3 linked regions of the Struthio camelus genome follow. The protein of the gene in region 3 interacts with the protein of the main gene of each other region in a biochemical or structural test. Links are inferred from orthologs where the notes say so. Each region holds a gene or a part of one and is shown on either strand. Other genes may lie near its edges. The genes, in order: PARD6B, YWHAZ and PRKCZ.

Evidence for each region.
Region 1: the proteins of PRKCZ (region 3) and PARD6B form a complex in vitro, tested with the Homo sapiens proteins (2 studies listed by BioGRID). The link is inferred for Struthio camelus from reciprocal best matches to the Homo sapiens genes PRKCZ and PARD6B.
Region 2: the proteins of PRKCZ (region 3) and YWHAZ form a complex in vitro, tested with the Homo sapiens proteins (2 studies listed by BioGRID, with this or other methods). The link is inferred for Struthio camelus from reciprocal best matches to the Homo sapiens genes PRKCZ and YWHAZ.

Annotation. Positions count from the first base shown.
Region 1 is NC_090959.1:10,323,841-10,327,585, reverse strand, and holds the start of PARD6B (partitioning defective 6 homolog beta), read right to left. Parts: upstream 2,593-3,745; 5' UTR 2,426-2,592; coding exon 2,360-2,425; intron 1-2,359. UniProt on the Homo sapiens protein: Adapter protein involved in asymmetrical cell division and cell polarization processes. Probably involved in formation of epithelial tight junctions.
Region 2 is NC_090943.1:146,171,576-146,175,320, reverse strand, and holds the start of YWHAZ (14-3-3 protein zeta/delta), read right to left. Parts: upstream 2,790-3,745; 5' UTR 2,503-2,789; intron 1-2,502.
Region 3 is NC_090962.1:2,921,916-2,925,660, reverse strand, and holds the start of PRKCZ (protein kinase C zeta type), read left to right. Parts: upstream 1-948; 5' UTR 949-1,461; intron 1,462-1,564; exon of another isoform or gene 1,565-2,037; intron 2,038-2,924; 5' UTR 2,925-3,057; coding exon 3,058-3,128; intron 3,129-3,745. UniProt on the Homo sapiens protein: Calcium- and diacylglycerol-independent serine/threonine-protein kinase that functions in phosphatidylinositol 3-kinase (PI3K) pathway and mitogen-activated protein (MAP) kinase cascade, and is involved in NF-kappa-B activation, mitogenic signaling, cell proliferation, cell polarity, inflammatory response and maintenance of long-term potentiation (LTP).

The sequences.
Region 1 (3,745 bases), on a different chromosome or scaffold from region 3:
TAAGAAGTTACTAGAGATGCTTACTCAATATATTATGGTCTTTCTTAAACAAAATACATTTTCTTACAGAGGACAAAGATGCCTCATCTCATAACATATCATATTGCCACCATACTATGACAGCAGCCTCCAGCAGACTGCTATAGTAATAGGACATGAACTACAGCAACCATACACGGCCTCTTTTATCAGCATATTAGATTTCATTCTGCAAAGAACATAATTCTAAAACAGAACATAGAGAGAGAAGACAAAAACCATAACAAAAGTTTATGTTGGGACTTTCATACCATCACCAAAAACTCTAGGTTGGGGTATAAAACTTACTTGTCTAAGATTAGAGAAAGGGTTAACTGGAATAAATATATTATGGAGATTCCCCAAGGCAAGTTCAGATCAGTTACCTAAATCGAATAAAATTGACTAACAAAAAGATTTTGCTCATACAACTGCAAATACAATTGGGGTATGTTGGCATAGTTTGTCAGTTGGGGCATTATTGAGATACTCCAAATCAATAATCAAGACCTGTGCATCGCTGATAAGCCTTCAAAGCCTAGACCACTCCACAGTAACGCTCCACTTCACCTCCCACACACTCCTTTCTTCTTCCTCTCTCAGAATTCTTCTTACTCTCATAAAAGGGAGATGACGTCTACGGTATATTAAATCAATGCACTTTAAATAATCCATTAGTGACAAGTAATTCTAGGAATGCCTTGGAACTCACTTTATGATATGCACTTAAGAGACAGTCCCTATTCATTAGAACCTCTACATTTTTCTACACAAATAACAAAGAATGCATCTCAGCTGATTCCTAGAAACTTTCATCCCATTCTTAATCAAGCAAAATACATGACAGAGGAACCAACAGGCCTAGAGTTCTGCGCTGAGGCAGTAAGTACTTTGCTCATAAACACATTGTTCTGGCTGTTCTCAACCTTAAAAGTGCATAAATGAAAGAGATTTCGCCAATCAGAGCCACAGCTGTGCTTCGCTACCATTTGGAATCAGGGCTACCAGGTATTCCTGTGCGTTTTGATTTTGTCCACTTAAAGGTTAAGTCCACTTTTTTTTTTTTCTCCTAAAAATCACTATTACCTATGCAACCTAGCTGTTTTCCAGGAGAAACTTCAGCACAGTCACATTATCCTTAACAACAAAAGCCCACACAACAACTTCAGTCCTGTCTGCTACGCACATACTGCAGCTCTAACGCTCCAACAGCAAACTGTAGACCACTTATAAAATCTGAACAACAGATATGTTTTGTACCAATGGAGGAAAACACATTTCTGTATAGGTGCACTTACAGTCTGCCTAGACAAAGAGAAAGTGTTTTTAACTCAAGTTACATGCGTTCATTTAACTAATGACACACCAACTAATACCACAGATCCAACACCCCTACAATTGATAACAGCTGAATGACAAGCCAACAAAACATCAGAAATATAAATCAAAAGATAATGTACTGCCTCTCAAAAATTTAAAGTTTTTCCAACAAAACTATGCCTAATCTGCATTAAGAAGAAACAGTAGAAAAAAAATGGATGTGGATACATCAATAGAAGATGGTTGGTGGAATTGTGCACAGCTTTGACAACAAAAAAAACTTTTGCTATGAGCGGTAACATACAGATATATTTGCTCATTTAAAAAATTGCCATTATGAAGACCTTGGAAAGTCTTCAAAGAAAAGCAAGTTTGTTTAAGATAAGTTAGCTGTGGCTTACCTGCACCAAGTAATGCAAGCTATATAGCGAGCTCTAGCCCACTTTAAGAAAGGTACGTAAACACATAGTTAAAGTTAACCAAAACCACTCCTTTCCTCATTTAGACCAAGAACAGGTTTTGGAGTTCATGAATCATGACTCTAAAACATGTCCCCTGGTATCCCCCAAACTTTCCCAAACCATCCACTTCTCTAGACGGTATTTTAACCAACGCAGAAACTAAGGGACCAAAACCACAAGCTTTTTAAATGAAAATTAAAAACACCCCCCCACACACATAAAAATACTAGTTTTCCCCCCCCGCAGACAGCGCACCCGGTGAGCGGTGCCACAAGGAAACTTCCACCGCCGGAGCCGCACGGCAGCGACCCGGGGCGGGGGGGGGGGCGGCCGGGACGGGCAGGCTGCCGGGGGGGGGGGGGGGGGGGGGGAAGAGACACGCCGCCGCCGCCGCCCGGAGCGCTCGAGCGGCCGCGGGCCGTCGCCCCCGCCAGCAGGTGAGTCAGCAGCTCTGCGGCCCCGCCGCCCTCCTCCACGGCGGCCCCGCAGGGCCGGGCCGGGCCCTCTCCCCGGCGCCGCCGGCGGACGCGGCCCTCCGCCGCCGCCGCGGCCGGACCCACCTTACTCTTCACCTCCATGGTGCCGAGGCCCCGGCTGCCCGCGGCGCCGCGGTGAGGCCGGTTCATGCCGCCGCGGGGTCGCTGTCCCGGCTCCGCTCTCTCGCCGCAGCCCCCGCGCGGGCGGTGGGAAAGGCAGCGAGGCAGAAGGGCGAGCGGCGCGGGCCCGACGCCAGCCGCCCCCGGCACCCCGCGGCCGCTCCGCCACCTCCTGCCGCCGCCCTCACAGCGCCGCCGGGGGAGGGGGGGAGGGGAGGGGGAGGGGGCGGAGCCACGGCGGCTGCGGGCACCTGCCGCGCCGCCGAGCCGGCGGCCAGGCAGGGGGCGGGGCGGCTCAGAGCGCGCGGCGCCTGCGCGGCAGGGCGGGGCGCAGGCGGCGGGAGGGCGGGGCGGCGCACCTGCCGCTGGCGAGCATGCGCAGTCGCCACCCGGGCAGCGGGGTGGCGCACCTGCGCCCGCTTGGTCCGGGTTCCAAAATGGAGGACGCGTGCACGGCGCCCGCGCGAGGGTGAGGCGCTGTCCGTATGAGGAAGTGTGGGGAGGGGTTATTTATTTATTTTTTCCTCCTATCTCTAATGACCTAAGGCCTTCTCAGGTGTGGGATCTGGCCGAGCGACCTTTGCGCTGGTGTGTCAGCGCGGGGCCGCGGCGGCTGGAGCGCGGCCCTCCGTCCCCTCAGACGCCTCAGCGTCGCGGCGCCGCCGGCTGCCGGCCAGGGCGCCCGCGGGGCAGCGGGCGTCGAGGCGGATTCTGGGCACTTAAGGCGAAGTGCGCCTCTGTTAGATTATTTGTCTGTAGATTACCTAAACTATGTCTAGACCAGTCCAAAAGTTTGAACTCTTACCCTCTGGGTACCTCTGTAAAGTCCATTCGTGCCATAGAGAAGTTGGAGTTCGTGTTTTTGTTTCAACTGCAAGTAATATTTCAGCATCTGGCAATATGAACCAGAACGACTGTTTTATGTAACCTTGCATATTGGTATAATCCCGAGATAGAGCAGTTACTTCAGTTCAAAGCCCCTACTTCAGTACTCTGGCAGGGGGACTGAGAAACCTCATTAGTTTACGCCTTACAATCTGAAGAAAAAGGACTCCTTACTAGTACAATTTTACATGTGTTAGTAGGAAGAAGGCCCATGGATCAACCTACTTATGTCAGCATACCTTCTAAATACAGATTGCTTCCTAATCTGTAAACCTAGTAGAAAAGAACTCAGTTTGAGGCGTCCTCATGTAGGCTTTATGTAGGATGCTGTGAAGGGAGTGCAGACAAACAGCCCTTTGCAGTTAAGGCAGGGTATGAGTGTCTAGTCAGTTCACAAGTCTCAGTTGGTAATCAGTAGTTTTTAAGAACATGCAGTGCTTAATCACTTTCAAGTCGGTGCTGTTT
Region 2 (3,745 bases), on a different chromosome or scaffold from region 3:
AGAGGAAAAACAGGGAGGTATTATTCAGACATTTATCAAGGACAAAGATGTTTTAATGTCATATGCAGAGCAACCGTTTTCCAAGAAGTCTGAAATTGTGAAATGTACAACCAAAATCTAGAACACAAAGCAGGCAAGCTCCAATGCTCAAATACATGAGCTGAAGACTTCAAGTCACTGCCTCCTTCTAAGGAAACGTTAACTTTTAAAGGAATATTATTTTAAATGTTTACAAATATAAGCATCCAAATGTGAACTGAAAGCAGATCACTCCTATCTCAAGCATACGCACAATCCCAGTCCTTTGCCATCACTCAGTTTTCTCATATGAGTGCAGTAAAGATGCAGCATCAGCTGCATCTAATTATCAAGGTAATAAGATTGACAACATAGGAACAGACAAAATACAGGCTAGTCAAACAGTATGAGACAACTCTGTGCCTTAACAGGACCTTATATTTATGTGCAGAAAGACTAGCCATAGGGATCTGCAAATCAAACCCAACACTGGAGGCTGAGAAGTCAGAGCTCCCTAAATATTCAAGCAGTTTCAAGGAGTACACCCTTTGACAACGTTAGCTTCCTTTCCCAAAACGGTAATAGGTTAAATCCTCTCACCTAGGCAGTGCTCCTCAGTCTGAGAGGTTAGGTATGCTTTCACAGACCCAAGGAGACTTCACTATTTAAAATATTACTTGAACATCAGCTTTTGAGACAGCATGAGCTGGCTGAGATACTTTATAGCCTGTATCACATCCAGACTCTTTAAACCAAGCTCTGCCAAACGAAGATAACCGACATATTTTTTTGTACCTCAAGACATGATAATCCTACCTCACCCCCCAAGTTTTCATGTATCTTGATCCAGTCATTTTTCAGGTCCTTACTATGTGCTTTGAAATACACCCTCCTTTAAGGTTTTATTATTAAGACGAGAACCAATTCTGGTGATATATGCTACATTATTTCTATACATTCCAACTAGCAACCTCACACATAATAATTCAGTAGCTTAACTTTGGTCATTTTACATAAAGTTACCACAAGCACTAACTGCAGTACCTCCTATTTAAGGACAAACAAAGCACGTTTTAACATCCTAGACACCTGAAAGGAGAAAGTTTTAGCAGCTGCTCTCCCCAACGCTGGCACACAGCAATTCAGTGGCTGTTCCACAGTGTTTGCTAACATGTGCCGAAGTCCTGACCACACTATAAGTAGTGGGTTAAGGAGCCATTTTAAAGAAAGGTTTTGGCTACGGTTGTTTCACCACCCGGTGCGACTAAGGCAAACGTGGTTTGAATGTTTGTCTGAACGCCAGTTTATCTGGCCACCGGGCTACCCATTGCCCGCAGACGGGTACGGCAGTATCCCTTCCGGGCAGCCAAGCGGCCCTTGGTTCTGATGGGTGAAGACGACCGCTCTGAAGCGCGGCGAGGACCGGAGGATGCCGCTCGGCACGCTGGATGACAGCATAAAATGGTGCTGCGGGCAGCCGGGCGGGCGGCCCCCCGCGCGGAGGCACGCTCGGGGACAGCCCCGCCCCGCGCCGCATCCGCCCGCCGCGGAGACACCGAGCGCCTCGCTGCCGCCTTTGTCATGGCGGACTGGCGTCGGAGCCCAGCCCACTTCAGTGCGCGTTAATCCCACTCACCTCCGCCCAACGCCGGGGGGCGGCGGCGGAGGAGGAAGATGCAGCGTCTCCGCCCCGACAGCGACCGGCCGAGGGGAAGCCCGCCGGCCCGGCCCCGCCGCCCCAGTGGCCAAGAGGAGGACGAGGGGGGAGGCGGCCCCCGCTCCGGGGGAGCCGCCGTTACCGCCCGCGGGGCTGCGGCCAGCCTCGCACGCCCCGGCGAGACCCCCTCGGCCGCGGTGGGGCGGGGGGGAGGCGGAGGAAGGCGCCCGGGGGGGGGGGGAATGGGGGAGGAAGGAGGGCAGGGCGGAGAGAAGGGAAGCGAGCCCGACGGAGGGGCGGCCGCTGCGGCTCTTCCGCGCCCGGGCAGCGCTCCCGGCGGGAGACCGCACCCAGCGACAGCCGCCCGCGCACTGCGGGCCGCGCTCCCGCCCCCGCCCCGCGGAGGCGTTACACCCCCTCCCCTTCCCGCGCGGGCGCGGCGGCGCGGTCGCCCCCGCCCGCCAAGGGCGGGACACCGCCCCTGCGGCCCTCACCTGCCACCCCCTCCGCCACCCGCCGCCCCCAACGGCTCCCCCCTTCCCCCTTCCCTCGCGGGCGAGGCCGGGCAGGGAGGGGCAGCCGCGGCCTCACCTGCGCGGGCCGCGGCGGCCGCCTCGCTCCGCTCCGGCTCGCCCGCCCCCTCCCCGCGGAGCCCCGGCGGGAGCCGCCCTGCCGCCACCGGCGAGGCCGGCGGAGGGGGCGGGGGAGGTCTGCGCGCTGCCCCCCGGCCGCCTCGCCTCCCTCGGCGCGCGGGGGTCGGGGCCCGGGGCCGCCAGCCGGGGCGGGAGCCGGGAGGCGGGGCCGCGCGGCGCCGCGGGCCCCGTTACCTGTGCGAGGCGGCAGCGACGCGGCGAGTGTCTCGGGGCGGACGGCCGGCGCGGACTGTGCCTGTCTCGCGGCTCGCTTCGCTGCAGCCTCTCTCCCAGCGCCACACACGGGGTCTCCGCCAATCACCGCGCCGCAACGCACGGGCAGCGCACCGCCCGTGACGTCAAGCGGGGCCATGGCAACGGCGAGGGCGCGGGCGCGAGCCCGCGCCTCCCCCGGCGCTCCCTGCACAGGGCGGAGGCCTCGCCGACCGCCGCGGGCGCCGGCGGCGCGCGCGGGGGCGCGCGGGGGGGGGGGGAGCGGCGGCCACGCCTAAAACCGGCGGCTCCTCCCGCGGGCGCGCGCCTTCCTCCTTCCCTCCCTGTGACTGCAGAGGCCGAGCGAGCCCGTCAGGGGGGCTCGTCCTCGCTGCCGCAGGGCCGGGCCGGGGCGCCGCCCCTCCGCCAGCCCGGGCCTCTCACCCCGCCACGGCTGGGGCAGGGCCGGCCGGGCAGGCCCGCCCCCCGGCGGGGCCGCGGTCGCCGTCGCGGTGGCTCTGCCCGCAGGCCACGGAGGCGGGGGGCGGCGGCGGAGCTGTCCCGGGCCTGGGTGGAAACGGGGCGGGAGGGCGGCAGCGCTGAGGCGGGCTCGCGTGGGGGCCCCTCGCCCCAGGGGGGGGATGGCAGTGTTGAGGTGGGCTCGCGTGGGGGCCCCTCGCCCCGGGGGGGGATGGCAGTGTTGAGGTGGGCTCGCGTGGGGGCCCCTCGCCCCGGGGGGGATGGCAGTGTTGAGGTGGGCTCGCGTGGGGGCCCCTCGCCCCGGGGGGGGGGCGGCAGTGTTGAGGTGGGCTCGCGTGGGGGCCCCTCGCCCCGGGGGGGGGATGGCAGTGTTGAGGTGGGCTCGCGTGGGGGCCCCTCGCCCCGGGGGGGGGATGGCAGTGTTGAGGTGGGCTCGCGTGGGGGCCCCTCGCCCCGGAGGGGGGATGGCAGTGTTGAGGTGGGCTCGCGTGGGGGCCCCTCGCCCCGGAAGGGAGGGGGCGGCAGTGTTGAGGTGGGCTCGCGTGGGGGCCCCTCGCCCCGGAAGGGAGGGGGCGGCAGTGTTGAGGCGGGTGCGTGTCGGGGCTCTTCGTTTACCACGCCCAGGGACTGACCCATCGCCTCAGCTCTGTGTTTTCCACGCTTGGCTGTGGGGTCTGAGATTTTCCAATTAAAATGAAAAACGCAAAAATGTGCAAGGCCCTTCCCCCCCTCCCCAGTTTTCTCC
Region 3 (3,745 bases):
TTGGAAGTTCATAGAGACACCAAACAAAGCATTAGCGCTATATTCGTACAAGCGCACACATTCCTATAACCCTCAAGGGAATTGTAAAAGCGCAAAATGGTGTCTAAAAGAAACTTGAGGTAGGTGTGTACAAGGTAATAGCAAGAGACTAAGGATCAGTCTTTTCTCATTTTCAAAATACAGATTATGACTGCTCAACTCGGAGTAGTCAAACCCAAACCACAGTGGTTGTGACACCCTGGCTTGGTTTATTGTTCAGAGTTCAGTGGACTAGTTACCTGAAGGAGATGCAAACAGCTAAGCAAAAGCTCCAAGGCAAGCCTTTTGTTTGGATAGCTTATTGGCTTGCCAAATTGGTTTAGGTATAGAAGAAAACTAACTGGCCATTTTAATTCTTAATTTCCACGAGGGGACTCTGTGAGTACAACTATCCCACACCTCTGTCCAAAGAACAGAGGAGACCACTGTGCTTAAGTCATAGCTGATTCATAGTTTTAAATCAACAGATCAAAGTAGCATTAGGAAAAAAAGCACTTTATAAAACTGAAATAGTGATGACATTGGACGTTTCACAGGCTTGCCCTTGTGAAAGCGTAGGTAAGTCAGCACCGTTACAACAACGTAGTCCATTGCTTTTTTTCCTCCCCTCCCGATGTGGCTACTCAGAAGAAGTCACGATATTGTTATTTTTATTGTTTCATTTCTTCTGTACCTATTTATTTCGACAGCAGTTTTCCTGCCTTTACAGTCCCGAATGAAGTCTTCTCGGTTTGGGTGGTATGATTACCCTTCCATGGAACTACACTCTTGTGAAAGGAAGCTTTCCCTCTAACTCCGGGCGGCAGCGCCGCTCCTTCCGGGCACCGCCGCTCGCCTCAGCACCGCCCCCGGCCCTGCCCCGAGGCGGCCCCGCGCTCCCTGCCCCCAGCCCGGCGCTGCCTAGCCCGAGGGGGCGCTGCCGCTCCTCCCGCAGCGAGCCAGCGCCTCCCGGCGAGCTGAAGCTAAGGGGGGGCCGGGCGAGGCCACACCGGAGAGCCAAGGGGCCTTCGGCAGTTTGGACGACCCACTACCTCTCTAGAGGGCTCCGAGGAGAGCAGAACCGTAGCTCTGTGCCCTCACAGCGCCGTAACGGTCGCGTCTGCTCCTCCTCTCGGGCCTGGGGCCTCCTCTCGCCACGGCGCTACCACATCTCCGAGCGCATAGGTGCTGCACGGGCACAGCAGGGCACCGAAACCCTCCAGGGACGGACTAGGGCTACGGCGGAGCGCCAGAGCGCGCCCGGCCGCTGTCGTGTGAGGACAGCCGCCCCCTCTGGCCCCGCCCCTCCCATCACACCTACCGCCCCACCCGCCGCGCCCACGGGAGCCGCGCACCCGCCGCTCGCTTCTCCGATTGGCTGCAGGCGCCCGCCTTCCGCTCCCTCTATGGCTTTTTATTGGCTGAGAGGCTCCTACTCTTCAGGTAACGGTTTCTAGCCTATGATTGGTCACGGGTGGGGAATATCCTTTTGGGGATTGGCTGCAGGTGAGCCGGAGTTTGCTATTGGCCGGCAGGTAGAGTGGGAGGGGCTCTATTGGTTGTGGGTGCTTCTTCGTCGGCCATGTTCGGAGTGGTGGCGCTGGTGCGGCTAGGGCTGGGAGGAGGAGGAGGAGGGCTGGGAGGAGGAGGGGGAGGAGGAGGAGGAGGAGGAGGGGGAGGGGGAGGGGGAGGAGGAGGGGGTTACTGAGGTGGGGAGCGGATGAGCAGCTACGGGGGAACCTGGGGCTCTTTCCGCAGCGTGCTGCTGCCGCCACGGTTCCCGGGGGACTCGCCTGCCCGGAGGGCAGCGGAGCCGGGGTCCGACCCGAAGTTCCTGGCGGGACTTTGAGCAACTTGGGGGCGGCGGGAGCGGAGAGCCGAGCTCTGCTGGGACGGGGCTGGAGAGGCAGGCCCGGAGGGCGGGCGTTGTCGGTGAGCTTTGCGGAGGTGATGGGGAAGGGGATCCTTGGGCACCCGGCCGCCGGGGAGGGACCTGCCTCGGCCGGAGCAGCAGAGTAGGTAGGAGGAAGGGGGAGCCCCAGAGGCGTCCCTTGGGCGCGGCGCGGCAGGGAGGGAGGGAGAGGCCTCGTCCGGGCGAAAGCGTCCCCTGCCTCTCGCTCCCCGCGCGCGTCGGGGCCGCGGCGTCGCCCCCGGGTCGGCGGGCGCCGGAGGAGCCCTGGGGAGGGCGGGAAGGGGCTGCGAGTGCCCTCAAACCCCAGCAGGGGAGGGAGCCCAAGTTCTGGCATCTTTCCATGGTCCGTGTGGCCCCGCTTCCCTAGAGAGCGGGCTTAGGGAGCTGTGTGAAAATATTTTCGAGTATGCCTGTATATGGGAGGGAGCAGAGAGAACCTCTGAAGAAGCAGGATATTTGCTTGAGAGTCCAGTTCTAAAGGCAACTTAGACAGCCCTTTGGAGTTCTTTCACTTTTCTTGAATAAATTTGTAATTAGCATGAATGAGTAACTGTCTTCCATGTATATGCAAATTACTTTGAATTGGAATTCTCTACTGTATGAAAGAAAAGAGCCAGAAGTAGTATGGATGAAGAAGTAGTTAATTCCTTTGAGTATTTCTGGCCAGGAAGGAACTACTGGATATTTTGTTAGAAAATATTGTCCTTTAAAAAAACCAAAATTTAAATGTTTTATACCAATTGTGCAAAAAAAAACCCAAAAAACAAACTGTCTTGAGTTCCGATCGTCTATAAATTGGAATGCTTATGCAATGCAGGGTAGTTTAAACTGATTTACTTCATTACTGTGCCAGACAAGTCTTATTGTATGTTTTCCTTTTGTTTTCTTTTGGCTTTATATGTAAAGCTACTTGAGTTTACAAAATCTGACACAACGCATTTGTTCAGTAGAGCGTGTGTATATTCATCTGTATTTTGATTTTTCTTTCTTTCAGCTGGATTGACTGTCGTCTGGAAAAGATGTGCATATATCACATCTGAAGTCTTTCACTTAAGAATTAAATGAATTATCTGCTCTTTCTATATAGTTACCATATAGTCATTCATTTAGACTGTTGAATTTAGACCATGCCTAGCAGAATGGGCTCAAAAGTTAATTTGAACAGAGACTTCATCAGGGTGAAAACACACTATAGCGGGTAAGTCCACATATTCCCTCCTGTGTATTGTGTCATACCTAATTTTGAAGCGTATCGAACAGGAGTCTATAGTCTCACTTAGTAGCAGAGTAACCAGGAAGCTGATGGATTTGAATGTAATGTCAGGACAAGTATATAAACTTCTAGGCTATTAAAATAAACATCCACAACAACTGCAGCACACTGAAACATTTTAAAAGAGTTGCTGTTTTATTCCTTAGTCTGGGTTGATGGGTTATTGCTTTCTGTTTTCTTGCAAGTGTTTTACGTTCACAGGCAGATAAGTTGTTCTGTTACATCCAGATACAGTTGTTATATTTTTATAATATAGAAATACATCTATTGTACTTTATTATATTTACTCATGTTGTGAGCTCTGAATCTGCAGATTACCACTGAAATTAGCAGGAGACTACTAAGTGCAGGTTTCCACTCACAGATGTCAGTTCATGACTGTGTGCTCCTTGGGACAGAATCTATGGTATTTAGTACGAGAGCTCTTTTCCGGTGGGATTTTTTAGATATTGTTTTTAATTTACAGTGGTCACTGTTTGGAAAATTATTGGAGGTGGGGTTTTTTGTGGGTAAATATGTAAATCTTGAAGCAACAATCAGAT